Schizosaccharomyces pombe: one gene and its partner. Changing the gene in region 2 together with the main gene of any one other region gives a genetic interaction. Each region holds a gene or a part of one and is shown on either strand. Other genes may lie near its edges.

What was found. A genetic interaction does not mean that the proteins touch.
Region 1: mutations in ssb1 (region 2) and ssb3 are lethal when combined (synthetic lethality), as found in Schizosaccharomyces pombe (one study listed by BioGRID).

Annotation. Positions count from the first base shown.
Region 1 is NC_003421.2:1,281,386-1,284,022, forward strand, and holds ssb3 (DNA replication factor A subunit Ssb3), read right to left. Parts: upstream 1,017-2,637; 5' UTR 980-1,016; coding exon 833-979; intron 770-832; coding exon 667-769; intron 566-666; coding exon 501-565; downstream 1-500. Other genes in the region: rpm1 (3' ssRNA-specific 3'-to-5' exonuclease), read left to right, coding at 1,777-2,637. UniProt on the Schizosaccharomyces pombe protein: As part of the replication protein A (RPA/RP-A), a single-stranded DNA-binding heterotrimeric complex, may play an essential role in DNA replication, recombination and repair.
Region 2 is NC_003423.3:218,657-223,340, forward strand, and holds ssb1 (DNA replication factor A subunit Ssb1), read right to left. Parts: upstream 2,643-4,684; 5' UTR 2,605-2,642; coding exon 2,564-2,604; intron 2,495-2,563; coding exon 706-2,494; 3' UTR 526-705; downstream 1-525. Other genes in the region: M phase inhibitor protein kinase Mik1, read left to right, coding at 3,043-4,251, 4,320-4,684. UniProt on the Schizosaccharomyces pombe protein: As part of the replication protein A (RPA/RP-A), a single-stranded DNA-binding heterotrimeric complex, may play an essential role in DNA replication, recombination and repair.

The DNA.
Region 1 (2,637 bases), on a different chromosome or scaffold from region 2:
TTGTAAAGGAAAAAGTAATATAATAATTCTCAAAACAACCAATTTTCTTTAGGAATAAGCGATATTCAGCGTAGTACCACTAGATATACTTGCGTTGCTCGCTTTGTATATATATGGTAGTTGGATTGTTACAATGGCAGGGTGACTGAAGGATGAGCAAACGTAAGAAACACCGGTATGTACCGTCTTCGGAGCCGAATCGTCCGCGATGAGCATCTCAAGGATACACTAAATAAGATAGTGCGAAAAAAGGAGAACGTTATATAAAAATACTCAAACAAGAATCAAAAAAAGTGAAATAAACGATAGTAAAATTCATATTTGTATTAGCCAAAAGGAAGAATCATTATAAAAGAAAAGCTTGAGTTTAGAAATGCAATAAAATATGCAAAAACCAAAAGAAGGAAGCAAGATTCTGCGCGTTTATTCTTCCATGTTTATTTGTACTGTGCATGAGAAATGAAAGAGAAATCTGTGTTGTATGATCCATAAAATGTTTCTTATTCAAAAAAAAGTGAGTTATACTTATGACTGAATAGAACGAGTTTCTGGTATACCTCCATATCTAAAGGAACAGGAAATTAGTTAATCGGTCAATAGAATGTAGGACTTAGCAGAAGCAGAAGTTCAAAGGACTTCCTTATTATTTTTATAAACACAACTTACCAATATCAGTGCCAAAATCAACACAGGTTAAAAGCTGCACCGAAGAATCTGGTTTGACAGAAACGACAAATTCATAGAAATGATTGGGTTCAAGAGTGTTATCCTAAAATTAGTTAGATAAAATAAAAAAACTCTGAAAACCGATTGTAAAATAGATAAAACGTACCACAGTGAGGTGCATATCGAAAGAACCGTTGGAATCGACTTTTGCAGTTTCACCTTCAACTTGATTCGCCTTGCCAACAATCCGAACCGTTTTTCCAGAGCATTCTGGTAGCATATCTTTCGTAACTCGAGGTGTAGGGCGTTCCATATTATTTTATACGCGTTGTTTATAAAGTGGTGGAAGTGAAGTATGTATCAGACCAGGTAGTTAACTACTTGTTGACACGAATTATTTAAAATATTGGAACGCAGTACGTTATGTATTATATGTTGGAAGGCGCTGGGATGTAAATAAAAAAGCAAAAGCGTAAATATAAACGCTGGGGGCTAACGTTGATACATTACTGTTCTATTTTTTATAAGAATTATTCATAAAAAAATCTCCTTGTATCCTTCTGCGTTAATTTCACTACTTATTAATTGGTTGAAATGTTGTAAATAAACGGGTTAAAGACCAATATAAATACGTCTTACATATAGTGATTTAAATAACATTATGGAAAGATTTCATGGTATTTTATACTATTTTTGAAATCGTCGGCGACTCTTAATTTTCTCTCTTTTCCAATACCACTATTAGTAAATTGCTTAGGCGTAGACCAGAAGCTTCAATAATTAAAAGTAAATGTAATTGATGGAAAGCAGCCTTCTTTTAATGATATAATTTTTCAATTAGTTTTACCTTGAGGTTGTGATTTCATGTATTTCACTTTGAAGTCGCCCATCCCCTCGACCATTCAATTCAAAAAAAAAAAAATCAAAAAACTCCATACTCATATTGAAATCTTTCTTCTGTTACATTAGTTATTAAACCACTCTTCATTTACATTTGCAGAGCTTGTTACCTTAATACTTGCTAGTACCTAAAAGTGCTCTGGTTCAGCTCTCTAGTCGAATTTACCATCAACACTATTTTTGGTGTTACTAATTATAGGGTTTTTGCCCATGAACTATAGGCAATTGTTTCTTCTTCAAAATGTTAATTTAGAGTCTAATTATTTATTAAAACGTGTATGCCTGTCTTTAAAATTGTCTCCTTGTAAACTTACAAGGAAATTTCATCATGCTTGCCCTTCCAGTTCAAAAGTTTTGAAATATTTCCGCATAACTGGATGCCTAATAAATTTCGGGAAACAACCAGCAAACGATCATCATCTTTGGGGACATTGTGGTGCGCGTTTGAAGCATACTCAATCAGATCTTATTGATCGATTTAAAAATGCTAATTTGAAATCCGTGAATGAGGAAAACCTTAAAAAATTTTTCTCTGAATTAGAAAATCATGGAAACATTAGACAGTGGTTGAAAGACAAGTTCGAGAAGGACAAACGCGCTGCTGTTTGTCCTACTACTACAAAATCTGAGGAAGAGAAGTTGGAAAATGATTTTGAGTATTCTTTTGATTTAGAAGATTTCAGCAGTGAGAATTTTAGACAGTACGATCGTGGAGATTTGCTAGTGTTTTATAGGGGCTCCGAAGGCATTGAACTTGCTGCATGCACTGGTACTAATGTTTGGAACTATAGTAATGTATTGACCAGCATTAACGAAAACGGTACTATTAAGGAATTTCGTACATCTAGAGTTTTACTGAGATGTCCTAATGTCTTTAAAAAGCTGAAAGAGGTGCAGCAACCTCTTTCTGATGTTTCTGTTCCTTCTGATGTCCTACCTTTCACTATAAAGTTATTAAAAAAAATCTCTCAAAGAGCACAAGATTTAAGTCGAAGTCACCGAAATGAATTTTTGCGAATATTGACAGAATTCAATATTCCAAATAAACTTGACAATTCAGCTTCTTTTTCA
Region 2 (4,684 bases):
GTTGTCAAGGTTTTACTGAAGGTTGTTGCGAGACGGATTAAATAGTTTACTCCATTCCATTTAGAATGTGGGGAGCTAATTAAGGATCTTTAAAGATAAATTTGTACGATTTAATCAAAGAAATGTTGTATTTTAAGATTTTGTATGTAATTAACAAAATTTGTCGCAAAACAGTCTTTTTGCTCAGTTATATTATTATTACTCAATTAAAGAATGTAACCTGCTGTTATTGGTATCTAAATCGCTTCCTTATTAAAGTTGTTTATTTATAAAGTAAATTTAAAAAAATCATGGTTCATATTCCTGTTAAAATAGGATTGCATTTTCGTAGACTCGTATTTACTTCAAAACAATCTGGTAATTTATTTCTTCAACAGTTTCAATTCTAAAACAATTGATAAGTTTACTGTATATTTTACTTCATATTAAAAGATATCATTGCATTCTTTTAGCGGTGATTTCAATCAAGCCATTATAGCGTAAATTACCCATCAAGGAACTTTAATATGTAAGCAACAGAACTAATTACTCCAAAAATTCAGATCATATATAATTACTTTAAATCTAGTTAAATGTAAGTGAAGTACCAAATCATAAGGAAAGGAGTCACTTTGTAATCAATGTATGCAAAATCATAAATCGTAGTTTTCGCGATTTAAGCCAAAAACTCAATTACTCGACCAGCGAGACGTAAAACACAATGTTTTATTGAGCAGACTCAATGAAATTTATCAATCTTTTAGACTCTTCCTTCCAGTCCATTTGATTAATTGACATCACTGTATAGCGTACTCGCATTTCACCTTTAAAATTGTCTTGCTTAGCACGACATTGAAAGATATATGGCATATAGCAAGCTTCTGCCATACAATTCATAAAGGCATTTTCGTCGTTTTCTTGTAGATCATTCAATTCGTCTGCCGTTTTATGCATGATTAATTTACCGACGTCGTCAAAGACGTTGAGCCAGAGTTGTCCCGTATGATCACCTACAGCAATAGTTATAATATAACGGTATTGAGGAGCATCATATTCTTTATTACATTTCTCACATCGCCAGGAGCCACCTTGATCAAAAACCTTTTTGTTGCAATCAGCAGCAGGGCAAGCAGGATATGACACGTTTTTCTTTCGAATGTAAACAATGGTGCCCTTTAAGCTAAAATAATCGGGTGTTTCTGACATTCCCAGATGTTCGGCTTGAACCTCAGCAATATTTTTACGTTCAGCACTCCTTCCAGTAGTAGATAAAGTAGATGAAATTACGCTATGTTTGGCAAATTCCTGCCCTCTACCCTGTCCATCATACCAACCTTTTAACAAATGAGATTCCTGGATATCTGGATCTACCGACATGGTGCTGCTAGTTAACATTGACAAAGAGCGTCCTTGAAAGTCATTAACTTTAACTCCTTTGAAAGCGAGAATACTTTCTTCAGAAACAGAGAATTCAATAGCTGTCTTTCCCCAAAGCGTAACACGCATTTCATATCCTGTTTGGTCAACGATAGTGATATCACGCTTGTCAAATCCACGAGAAGTTGCACGACTGGTAATTTGTTGAACTGGTCCAACGTTTTGGAGTACACCAATTACATCGATAACAGCATCTTTGGCAACATCGCCGACTTCTTGTAGAGAAACAAAACTAAACTTCGCAACGGGGACGGCAGTTTGATCCTCAGCTTTCCTTATTTCAGTATCACGTTCAAACATCAGCTCATACTCGTTTTGAACATTGGTATATTGTTTTTTTGCAATGTTCACACGACAACGAGATATATAATAAACCGAACCTTCCTGTAAGATATCATAAAAAGCATCAACCTGGTCATTAAAGCCTGTTGCACGAATCTCCCCACTTTCATCGAGTAAATTTACGCTAAAAAGCTTTCCTTCACCTCGTTGATTATGCCAATGTTTAACCTCAGATTTGTTAGTAACACGGGCACGAATAGTCCATTTATTCTGATATGGAGAGAGACCTTCAATTGGGTAGATTATTGTGCTAAGGCTATTCGGCGCTGCTGGCTTCTTCATCATGGGAGGTGGAGCCGGTGCTGTAGCTGCAGCATTGTTTCCATAAAATGAGTTAGTGCTTGTCGAAATACCTGTTCGTGGTGCGCTAGCATTGTTTTGCTCATTTTGCTGCTGCCGTAAAGCGTCAACTGTTTCTAAACCAGCGGGATTACCAATTTTATCCATTACGCCAAGTTCAGTTAAAACATTCAAACCAAGAACAATCAAAATTTTTCTTTCTTTCATAACGTTTACAGTGAATTGGGTAAGCTGTACGAACGCTCCTTTTTGAAGTTTATTTTCGGCAACCAAATGGTTCAGCTGGGTGCTTAACATAGATTGCGCATAATTGATTGAATCGGAAAGGACAACACGATATCTTTTAGGAGCACCAGAAGTTGGATTTGAGTTTAGCTCCTTCACGGTTAAGACTTGGAGAATTGGATTAGGAGGAAAAGACGAAGCATCGGATGTACTAAAGAAACGTGTTAACATCCCAATTTGTCGAAATCTTTTGAGTATATAATTTGGACAGTTAACTTACTTGATTATACGAAGTGCACCCACGGATAATCGCTCAGCCATGTTTGCAAATTCTTTTTTTTTTAATTAGTGGTTGGTTTAAGGCAAAAGAACGAAGCCGCGTCGCGTTATCCCAAATGAAAAACGCGAACGCGTCATGACGCGTCGTAACACATTTTAATATTACGCGTAACTTTAAGATGTGTTGTTTGTGTACGTGCATGTCAACAATGGTTGTTTACTTTCAAAGTTATCCTTTGCGCACAACACATTGCTATAGAAAAGCCCTTAAAAGCTGAAAAGAATAGTAGTGTTATTTAATTCTCTACAAAAGGAAATAAATCCTTTGTGATTTTCCTTTTGTTGGAAGAGTTGAACTACATTATCATCTGCATATTATTTATTATTTAGGAAAACCGGAGATATCAAAGTGAAAACGGGATTTTAACAGCTAATAAGCAAAAAAATATAACTTTATTTACATTCAGGTTTCAGTTAAAGATGGATTCATCAACCACCATCCCAATTACTCCAACGCGAACACCATGTTTTTTTAATATATCCTCTTCGTTTAATGAGCATTCTCCATTAAATTTCTACGATGAACCCATTTACAATTTTTCGTCTGGCCATGAAGAAAATCAGAGCCATAAGTCATCAAAACTGACATTCTTTAAACCTTCCAATACAAAAAGAAGTCCACATACCCCTATGCAAAATAATGCAAAAGCCATCAGATTATCCACTACAGTTCGCCACGGAATTTTTAAGAATTCAGATCTCGATGGGTGTAGCAAACCATTTGCATTTTCGAGCGGCTTGAAGTTATCCAAAAAAATTGTGGATGCTTCAACGCCAATTGATTTAAAACGAAAAAGGGCGGTGACTTCTTTAAGCACAGGACTGTTATCAAAACGTGAAAAGTGGTCATTATGGGAAGGGAATTTGACTAATCCAAGAAGTGAACAACCTCATACACCTTGTAAAAAGGGAACGAAAATAAAATTAAAACCACCTCAATCTCCGCTGTCACCCACTACCTCTCTTTTAGCTCGCAAATGTAAACATATCGACCTAGATACTTTTAGTCGGTTGGATCATCCAAACTCTGACAGCTCGGATGAAACGTTTGAAATGGAAGAACTTCCTTCTTTGTCTTATGGTTCAGAGGACTTGTTGGAATTTTGCGAAACGCCTTGCAAGAGTCAGCCTATTTTCCTTTCAAGTTCCCACGTTAATAACTGGGATGAGAAAGACGTACCTTCTTCATTAAGTTGGACACCTACCAGTCCAATTTTTTTAAACATCAACAGCGCAGATGATTACGAAGAAGAGGAAGATTGGACTAGTGATCTTCGAATTCGATTCCAACAAGTTAAGCCGATACACGAGAGTGATTTTTCATTTGTATATCATGTGTCTTCGATCAACCCACCTACTGAAACGGTTTACGTTGTAAAAATGTTAAAAAAAAATGCAGCCAAGTTTACAGGAAAAGAGCGTCACTTACAGGAAGTATCTATTTTGCAACGCTTGCAAGCATGTCCATTTGTAGTAAATCTAGTGAACGTTTGGAGCTACAATGATAATATATTTTTGCAATTAGATTATTGTGAAAACGGAGACCTAAGTTTATTTTTAAGCGAATTGGGATTATTGCAGGTCATGGATCCTTTTCGCGTGTGGAAAATGTTGTTTCAACTAACTCAAGTAAGTTATTACATATTTAAAAGTCGCGTTCCACAGACACGTCATTTGAATTCACTAACCGAACATAGGCATTAAATTTCATTCATCTTTTAGAATTTGTTCATTTAGACGTTAAGCCTTCCAACGTTCTTATAACTCGTGATGGTAACTTAAAGTTGGGAGACTTCGGACTAGCAACTAGTTTACCGGTCTCCTCGATGGTTGATCTCGAAGGCGACAGAGTCTATATAGCTCCCGAAATATTAGCTTCGCATAATTATGGGAAACCAGCCGATGTATATTCACTAGGCCTCAGTATGATTGAAGCCGCAACAAATGTAGTCCTGCCAGAAAATGGTGTTGAATGGCAACGACTAAGGTCTGGAGATTACTCAAATTTGCCAAATCTTAAAGACCTCCTTTTGTCGAAAGAAAAGGTTCAAATAAACAAGGT